Arabidopsis thaliana: one gene and its partner. The protein of the gene in region 2 interacts with the protein of the main gene of each other region in a pairwise test. Each region holds a gene or a part of one and is shown on either strand. Other genes may lie near its edges.

What was found. Proteins that work in one complex are often made in the same cells at the same time.
Region 1: the proteins of AT4G31210 (region 2) and AT1G68185 interact in a two-hybrid assay, tested with the Arabidopsis thaliana proteins (one study listed by BioGRID).

The regions. Positions count from the first base shown.
Region 1 is NC_003070.9:25,554,733-25,559,342, reverse strand, and holds AT1G68185 (Ubiquitin-like superfamily protein), read right to left. Parts: upstream 2,961-4,610; 5' UTR 2,940-2,960; coding exon 2,799-2,939; intron 2,685-2,798; coding exon 2,609-2,684; intron 2,521-2,608; coding exon 2,462-2,520; intron 2,268-2,461; coding exon 2,137-2,267; intron 2,001-2,136; coding exon 1,790-2,000; intron 1,338-1,789; coding exon 1,170-1,337; 3' UTR 1,163-1,169; exon of another isoform or gene 1,077-1,162; 3' UTR 810-1,076; downstream 1-809. Other genes in the region: BBX27 (B-box zinc finger family protein), read right to left, coding at 52-123; AT1G68180 (RING/U-box superfamily protein), read right to left, coding at 3,718-3,740, 3,843-4,527.
Region 2 is NC_003075.7:15,162,832-15,168,393, forward strand, and holds the start of AT4G31210 (DNA topoisomerase, type IA, core), read left to right. Parts: upstream 1-2,303; 5' UTR 2,304-2,448; coding exon 2,449-2,529; intron 2,530-2,761; coding exon 2,762-3,403; intron 3,404-3,463; coding exon 3,464-3,964; intron 3,965-4,046; coding exon 4,047-4,453; intron 4,454-4,660; coding exon 4,661-5,300; intron 5,301-5,376; coding exon 5,377-5,463; intron 5,464-5,562. Other genes in the region: AT4G31200 (SWAP (Suppressor-of-White-APricot)/surp RNA-binding domain-containing protein), read right to left, coding at 1-162, 277-548, 728-1,737.

The sequences.
Region 1 (4,610 bases), on a different chromosome or scaffold from region 2:
TAGTTTATTAGAGATCACAGATCGAACAAAAAGAGAAGAATAAGTTTTTACCGATAAGAGAACTAAAAAGATCAGAGATTGGTGACAAAAGCTTCTTCTGTCTGTTTTTAGGAGCTTTTTCATATTATCTGAACAAATCCGTCGGTTTGGTTAGGATGACGTGGCAAAGCCACGTAGATATTTGGGTGGGGACTTAGAAAAAATGGTGATTACGTTATCCGTATGCACGTGAGATATGGGGAAGCCACGGACGTATGTGCCACTGTGACAGCTTCTTCTTTCACGACCCATCATCTCTAACTCTTAAAGCTTAGCTTTTCCTAACCAATTATTGTATGCCACATGTCGTAGCTAACTCCGGACCAAACAAAAACTACAATTATCCGACTTGGTTAGTTCGTTAATTGGTTTTATTATTTTTCACATGAACTAAAACACATAAATAGTACTTGAATGTGTTAATTCTTATAATTTTACATTTTTAAGAATTTTATTAATGACTAATGTGATGTTTTCTTTTCTATCAAGATTATATTAAAAGCTAATGTTACAAAACAAGAAATATTAGAGTCATGAGACTATATTTGAATATAAAAAATATCAGTGTAAAACGACATTTACTAAGAAACAAAGGAAAAAGTACACTAAACCGAATTTAACCGATTTACCATTGATTCCAGTTTTTGTCAGTTAGTAAAAAGCAATACTGATTATACATACAATAGTTTTAGTTTTGTCTTAGATTAGTGAGATATATATTTATGTTTCTCAAGAGATAGAGAAAGCATAACGATTAAAACCAAACAAAAGTTTAGTTAGATTTTTAGATTGGATTCAATAGGATTAGTTAAAATCAAAATGGTTTGGTTTACCTTATATATTATACACGCCTAATAAAGAGTGACAGAAAGAGTGAAAGAAAGAAAGAAACAAAATTCCGATAAAATGAGAAAGGTCACAGATACAAACACCAGATGTTAGCAGAGAGATCCCTTCCCATGCCCATGTTGATGTACAAAACTCTGGTTTTTCGCAAAAGATGGAACAGATTTGACATTCCAGATTCCGATTAGCGCCTGACTTGAATTCAATCGAAGATAATGAGTTATCATCATATCACAATAAGAGCAAGAAGAAAGATGTGGAGGACTTCATAAGTTACCTATTTGTCAAGTTTTTTTGGTGTGCACTTCAATCATATCATGATCCTCCATGCCAAGTTCAGAAGGAGTGGTTGATGGATCAATCTTATCACCGTCAAAAATAAATACAAGATTTTGCGGGTCAAGCTTAGCTTTATCTGTATACAGTTTGATAACCCTCTCAAATTTCTCGTCCTACAAGAAAATGGTAAATACCAAATCAACATTCTCATATTTTACAAGCTTTAACAGAATATGCATATCTATTAATGAGCGGCTCATTGTATGACAGAGAGCAAGCAATATGTATTCTGTGTGTAAATGCTATGTGGTGATGATACATTGATAAGAACATGAACTCGTTCTCTAGTTTATTAGATGAACTCAAAGAATAGTTTAAAGATCCATCAACTAATACACGTCTCAAATACTCGACCCCATTCAATGATTTCTTTAATCCCTGTATTTATACTCTTGCTTTCCTAGAAAGCTCGAAATATCTAGCTATCTAGATAGTAGCGAAGGTGACATAACAACTAATTCTTATCTCTACTAAATATCTAGTATCTAGCTAGAAAAAGTTTGGATAGTAAGCTTATTGTCGATGGAAGGTTGGATAGTAAGTGGCAAGCAGTGAAAAAACTTACCGCAAACACCCGGAGTGTCTTCTGTCCATCTTTGTCCTGTATTGTAATAACAATCTTGGCCCTGTCATTCGTAGGCTCTGATGGTAACTGAGCAGCAGTCTCTGAAGATGGATTGCGAGATTCTTCAACTTCCCTTTTAGCAGACTCCTCAACTTCCTGCATCACATCTCCTACAGTTTTTGTAAATGACATGAGCTCCATCTTCTTCGACCTACGTTACATATTTCATTTATAATCAAATTGTAACACTGGGACTCTTTCCGGATAGCAAATAACACTACCATAGCCTCTAACAGCAACATGGGAAGCTTAGAGATGAGAAATACTCAAAGACATACAAAAGTTACCTCAATGCTTTAATAGTTGAATCTTCAACAGAGTCTTTACTTTTGTCGAAGATAACCTTTGGTGGAGGAAGCAACCAATCGTCATCACCCGTAACTTCAATCACTTTCACATCATCATCTAACTTCTCAACCTATATAAAAAGATTCAAGTTCCAAAAGGAATGATGATAGATTCAACCTATGAATTGTGAAGTACATAATCGAATTGTTCCTTCACTGACATTGATTCAAAACTCTTTACAAGCCCACAATACCAAAAGTATCTATCAAGTTAACACAAAGAGCTCAATGAGACAACAACCAATCAATAAAAATCAATTCTTACTGTTTGTGAAGTTTTCGCTTTCTTCGGAATTGGCGTCACCGAGGCATCATCATCATCATCTACAAAAATTCAAGCGATAATAAAGGATTCATCTTTATCACTGTCGAGTGTCGAGCTCAGTGACCAAATCAAATAATCGAAACTCACCATCGATACAAACGAAATTCGCTGGCTGAACACGACGATAATCAAAAAGTGGCTCTAGATCTTCTCCTTCACCTCCCTGATCATCAATCAGTAATACAAATTCAGAAAAACTCAGGCATCAACACAATCCCACAACAGACAAAATTAGGGTTTTAAAAATTGGGGTATTGGGAATTCATAAAATTCTCACCATTGTTAGCGAATTTGGATCTTCTTCGTCTGTTTTATCAGAAACCCTAGATGAATTTGGACAGATTTTGAATTTGAATATTATTTTGCTGTGATTTTTGAAAAGACAAAAGTGATTTTGAATTTTGATGAAGAGAGGCATCGGCGATTAAGAAGCACCTCTTGGGTTTATTATTTGTTTGTTGGGCCTGTTTAGTGGGCCGAGTTTTCATTGGTTATCACACTTTTTTTTCAGATTGGTTTAATTGGGTTGGGTGACCATCATAGTTGATTGCGTATTTGTCATTTGAGATCTGTTGTACTTTAGTAGAATTTTGTTGGTATTTTTGAATGCATGACAATAAAAGATGGTACAACAAGACTCATCCTAAGTCTTTAGTAGAGAAGTCCATGGGAAGCTCTACATGAAGGTTATAGTAAACCAAACCGAGAAGGCACAAACTCGGCTTTACAAAATCAGGCCAAAAATAAGATAACCGGCAAATAAAAAGGGTTGGTGAGGCTATTCAAACCATACCTAAGTAAATTGTGTTCGATGATCACGAGAGAGAAAGAAACAAAGAAAGGGAGACAAAGCGTTTTCAGAGACTATGAGAGATCATGGAACCCTAGCTAGTAGAGTAGAGGACTAACCTTATTACCAAGATTTTTTATTTACATGTTGTTACAACTTACAAATGAATAAAAGATAATTAATGCAAATATAGTCTTGTTAATGCCAAAGTTTTGTTTCATGAAATAAACACGCTTCTAGCCTTTCATGATCACCCTCTTTGTCTCTTTATGTAGTTTTTTTTTGTCGTTTCTTATTGATGTGTGTTTCTTCTCCTCTCTCTCATAAGTCATAATACACTTAATATGTAGTCAATAATATTCCTAGTTTCATACATTCTTGTTTGCAATTCTTTAATTTTTTTTTGTCAAGAGTTTGTTATTCTTATATCTGCGAAATTGTATATATTTTTAAGAGTTAAATATCATAGTCAAAACCCGTATAAGCATAATAGAAAAGCCATGAAAGCTATATCGGGAGGTGGAATCTTACCTATGAGATTATGTACCCAATCAATCATCATTCGGAGAGGCCACAAAGAACAAACCCGAGTCCGAAACCGATTTGATCGATCATTGTCGATGTTGTAAGACCCTCCTTCGTCTACGTTACTCTCGGAAACACCTAAGTTAACCTCAAAACGACAAATGGGACAAGTGTTGTGAATGTTCAACCAAGACACAATGCAGCTTGAATGGTACAAATGCAAGCATTTCAATTCTTTTCCTTCCTCTCCAACTTCAAATTCCTCCTTGCATATCGCACAAACCTTCTCTTTCACCAAATCTTCATCCGTGATTATCACCGTCCTTACAGCCTCGATGGCGGATTGCGAGGCTGGTGGTGGACCGATTTGTACACTAGGCATGACATCAGCGAATTCCTCGTCAGTATTATAAACTAGATCATCATGATTGAACCGGTTACTTCTTGGTTCGTTGATAAGATGGAGAGTGATCCAATCGGTATCACTATCCCAATAAGGTCGGCTTGGCCTCATAATGTCAAGCTCATCGTGAAGATTGATCTCTCTAGAACAGAAAGGACATATGGGACCATATAGACCAAAGCTTCTTAGCCTAATGGTACGGCTACAATGGCGACAATAGAAGTAATGGAACGTTCTTGTTCTTCTTGTTCCATTCACAATAACTCTTGGACGATAAGCAGATGTCATGTTTTCAATCTTTTTATTTTTTCGTCGGTAGGATCTTTATATATGCATTTATAATTAAATACGTGTACATGTTTTCAAGAAGA
Region 2 (5,562 bases):
GTTGGGTTGGTGGTGGAACAGAAGCGTTAAGCGGTATGGAACCGGGAAAGGCACCAGGAGGCATCACATTTGGGATAAATTGTTGGGTTGCGACCGGATTAGTCAGATGCTCTAAATTCATTGTGCTAGAGACATTACTGTTTGGTGGCTGTTGCAGCATTCCTGTAAGTTCATAAAGATAAAAAGTTGTTGGTATATTGTCAAGTCTAAACCGAATTCTTCTTATACATAGGTGGAGTTATAGTTTCTGTCTTTCTCACGGAAGAGCAGGAGTACCTGGACGTTGTAAGGCATGTGCTGCTATAATGGGAGAATGAGAAAAGGTATTTGCAGGTGGTCCACTTTTCATCTCTTTCTCAAGAGAGGAGATGGTGTCTTGATCAAAAACCTCCTTAGAAGCCCAAAACTGCAAAATCTTCTCCAAACGTGACTGGTTTTCTTCCTTGTTTTGTGGAAAGTGGTAAATCCTCCCCAGCATGGAACCCAAAATAGGTCTGAAAGCAAGAGCTTCATTGTCAAACTCGTGCAAGTTTGTCCTTCGTTGTAAACTGTATTTAAGGAAGCAATAAACATGAGAAAATATTAGGGCAGAAGAATCTAATGTTGCAACCCAAAATTTTGAAAGCACAGACTGAGACTCCTAATAATATAGAATGAACGAAAAACTAGTCTATGCCGAAGTCCTCTAGAATGATGTAAAGAGCGATCAGGGATGAAGTTTAGATACCTGTCGAAGAGAATGTCATTAGCTAGATAAACTATGTGCATCTGCCTATCAGAATCATCCATTGCAAAGACCCTGTCTCTAAGTGCCTCTGCTAAAGCTGGTGCAAAGGGAGATCTCTGCATGAACCAAATCTTAGCACTTTTAATAGACTCTTTCGTGCCATTAAGGTTGCCCAAGACACCATTTAGTTCCATTGCAACATCAGCAGGGAGTGGACCAGAAAGACCTCGGAACGCATGAGTTGACTGATCAAAATCAGGACGAGCATGGGGCGCAAAAGGATGAGGCTGCGGAAGATGCTGTTGGAGCTGGTGGTGGTCATGGAATGGTGGGAAAGGAGGTTGGCGGATTGGTGGCACAGCCAATGCACCAGGTACATTGTTCATTGAAGGACTCATCATGGGATTTGGCGGATGATGTATCATAGGCATTGAAGATGACGGGAATGGAGGATCAAAGGGTCCTCCAGGGGGATGCATAGAGAGAAAGTGCTTATAGCGGTAATAACCATGACCTTCACCCCCAAACAGAAACGCATAATCAGGATTATCCTTCTGTCTATCTCGCATCATAGCCTCAAACTCAGGACCGTTCTTAACCGAATACTCAACAAGCTTATCAATCCGTTTCTGCAGCTCTGGATCAGCTGGAGGAGGAGGAGGAGGAGCAGAATCATACGGTCCAGGGAATGGCGGAGGAAGGTGATGTGGAGGTAAGTGAGGAAGGAAAGCCTGAGGTTGCTGTTGACCAAACATCTGTGGGTGAGGAGGATGAGGAAGATGCTGCGGTTGCTGCTGCTGATGCATAGGATGCTGGTAAGGGAACTGCTGCATAGAAGGATGAGGAGGAATGAAACCAGAAGCATTCATTGGTGATGGATACTGAGGATGTTGCGGATGAAATCCGAATTGTGGTTGTTGTTGCTGTTGAAAGTTAGGACCTTGTTGCTGCTGTTGCTGAGCATAAGGTAACCCAGAAGAAGCAGCATAATCGTGCTGTCTTCGATCCATGTATATAAACTCTGTAACACTTGTGTTGTATAGATTCAGCTAAGTGTTCCTGAGAAGATTGTAAAAACAAAAGCTTTCGAAATTGGGCCATATAATTCAATACGAGAGAAGTAATTCCCAGAAGGTAATCAATATCTACGCAAAGAGAAACACCGAAACTATACACAGTGTAAATTGAAGAGTTTAACAAAAAAGCGACATCGCTTAAGAATCTGACTACACGACCCTAACAGCAAGAAAATCGAGAGAGCGAGACACAATACCTAGTTCAATCACTTACTAACAAAGAAGAACGCAACTTTCTGAGAAGAAAATAGTTGAATCGGATGGAGCAGAAGCTAAACGCACCTGAAGAAGAAGGACTGAAGGAGAGACCTTTACTCTGCTGCTAGGATCCGGAAGTTTTAATTGGGCCACGAAAAACCGACCCAAAAGTTTTAATTGGGCCACGAAAACCCGACCCGAAATCTATTTTGACTAATAAGAGTTGACCGGGTAATTTGGCGGATCTACTTGATCCTGATTTATACCCGACCCGAGTTAGAAGGCACTAAGCAGATAAACCCCAGAGACTGAGTAAACCCTTAAGAATTTCTTTACCAGACATCTCCGCCATTAACAAGATCTCTCTTCTTCTACTCGATTTATGATAAGCTACGGATTCACTCGTCGGATGATTTGAAAGTTTCTGAATCAAACAGAGTATTCTCAATGCAGAGAACCATCTCACTTGCGGCTGCTAAGTCTTCTTCTTCGACTTCAGTTCTGTCTCTTCATCCTCTCATGGCTAAGGTTTGTGTTTCGACTCTTACGCTGGTGAGATACTGAAATGTTAGATTCTCAATTTAAAAAGTTTGGTATTTTATGGCTAAATCATTATACTCTCGTCGTTTTCGTATTGAAATGGAGTCGAATTTGTTTCAGTGAGCTTCAATTTTTCGTTTATGTTATTTAGATGTGTTTGAAAATTCATCAGTAGAACTCATGGAGATTCTGACGATTACTTGTTTCTTTGTTGTTGCAGTTGCAGTGCAGGGCGATTCAAAATTTCCCAGCTTCCTCTTCCTCTTCAGTAGTTCGGGTCGATAGAGTGTATAGAAATGTATCCCAGCTTCAGTTTAAAAGAGAAAATTCAAGTTGTCTTAAGTTAGCTTGTGCACTTCCTTCGCATCTAAGTCTTCTCGGTTCTCTTAGTTATGCAACACATTGGAGCAGCTCCACTTCAAGGGCCTTTGGATATAGTTTCAGACCGTTTGCGAGGAGATATTTTTCTCAAGTCGCTAGTACTGAGATTAAGGATAGCATTGTTGGTGGTGTTGAAAAGTTTGGTGGGAATAAAATAGGTTTCAAGAAATTCAATAAGAAGTGGAAGAAGCATAGGGTTTTGGCTTCCACAAAAGCTGAAGTGGTGGCTTCTACTGAACCAGTTATTGGAGATGTTAACAGTGGCATCAAGGCGAAACTATCAACTGCAGCTTCACCTGCTAGCAATGCTAAGCAAGCCTCTACTGTCAAAACAAAACGGCAGCCAAAGAGCAAGAAATTCGAAGATAAATCTTCTCCAACGGTATCGGTTTTGGAGACCGTCTCTGTAGACGAGAGTTTGCAAAGCTTTCCCAAGCCTAGACATTCGGGTTCCGGAAATCGGAAGTCTTCATCTGCTGAGGTATTAAACTAGTAAAGTTTTTTGAATCATCGTCTTACCCTTGCTCATATCTTCTAACAGTACAGTTCTCAGAAGGAGGTGGTAAAAAAAACCAATGTGGAGGGGCCCAAAAGTTCTACTCCATCGAATTCCATGTCAGAACAACAGCATTGGACCTCAACAAAAGCAAGCAATGCACCAAAACAGGAGCAGGATAACATTGTTGGTGGTGATGAGAAGGCTGGTGGGAATAAAGTAGGTTTCAAGAAATTTAACAAGAACCGAAAGAAGCATAATGTGTTGGCTTCCTCAGAAGCTGAAGTGGTGACTTCTACTGAACCAGTTATTGGAGATGGTAGCAGTGGCATCAAGGCGGAACTATCCACGGCAGCCTCACCTGCTAGCAATGGTAATCAAGCCACTACTGTCAAATCAAAACGGCGCCCCAAGAACAAGAAAGTCGAAGATAAATCTTCTTCAGTGGTACCAGTTTTGGAGGCGGTCTCTCTAGATGAGAGTCCGATAAGCGTTCCCAAGCCAAAACATTCTGGTTCTGGAAATCGGAAGTCTTCATCTGCTAAGGTATTTGACTTTAATAGTTTTAGGACCGTAATAGTCTTACCCTTGCTTATTTTACCTAACAGAGTAACAGTACAATTCTCAGAAGGAGGTGGCAAAAAATCACCCTGTGGAAGAGCCCAAAAGTCCTGCTCCATCAAATTCCAAGTCGGAACAACAGCATTTGAAGTCAACTAAAGCAAGTAAGGCACCAAAACAAAAGCTGGTTCCTCAACACATGAAAAACAGCATAGAACATCGAGGTCAAAATGCATCTAAACCGCTTTATCCGCCAAGTGGAAAATCTGTTATTGTCGTTGAGTCAATGACAAAAGCAAAGATTATTCAGGGTTATCTTGGTGACATGTATGAGGTTTTGCCAAGTTATGGTCATATCAGGGACCTGGCCACAAGGTCTGGTTCAGTGAGGCCAGATGACGATTTTAGCATGGTTTGGGAGGTTCCATCTTCCGCCTGGACTCATATTAAGAGCATTAAGGTTGCATTAAATGGGTACGGTTTCTTGCCTAATCACTACTTTAAAAATCTATTGTTGCTATTATCTATATTCCTTAATTCTAGAATACTTTCCGGGTGTCAAAGTGCTGTACAGCTATTGAGATATGTGGCTTGTTCAAACTTGTATGATATGAACTACTTCTTTCCTATGGTTTTTCTTATTGTGCTTATCTATCTCATTATGTTTACCTTATTCCTCAGAGCTGAAAATCTGATTCTTGCATCGGACCCAGATCGTGAAGGAGAGGCAATTGCCTGGCACATTATAGAGATGTTGCAGCAGCAGGGTGCCTTACATGAAAGTATGACAGTAGCAAGGGTTGTATTCCATGAGATAACTGAATCAGCAATAAAAAGTGCACTTCAATCTCCACGAGAAATCGACGGGGACTTGGTGCATGCTTATCTTGCACGGCGTGCTCTTGATTATCTCATCGGATTCAATATTTCACCACTACTATGGAGGAAACTTCCGGGTTGCCCGTCAGCTGGGCGGGTCCAGTCTGCTGCTTTGGCTCTTGTATGTGATAGAGAAAGTGAAATTGATGGATTTAAGCCTCAGGAGTACTGGACTGTAGGAATCAAAGTGAAAGGGAAAGATAATTCAGCCACCTTTTCTGCTCACTTGACCAGTTTAAATTCAAAAAGATTAAATCAGCTTTCTATCAGCTCTGAAGCAAATGCACAGGACATTGAGCAAAGGATCAAATCAGAAGGTTTTCTAGTGAAGGGCACTAAAACAAGTACTACACGGAAGAATCCGCCAACTCCGTACATAACATCAACCCTTCAGCAGGATGCTGCTAACAAATTACATTTTTCAACAGCACATACCATGAAGGTTGAGAGCTAAAACCTTTTTCATTTTCATTCACTTTTTCCTTGAATTCATATTTCTAATAATAAGTACTTTGCAGCTCGCTCAAAAATTATATGAGGGTGTCCAACTGTCCGATGGTAAATCAGCTGGTCTTATAACATACATGCGGACAGATGGTTTACATGTGGGTTTATCTCTTTAATTGTGTATTTTCTGCTATGGGCATTCATTTTGTTTTGATTTTCAAAAATATTACTTTCTGACTGATTCATCTTATCTGTTA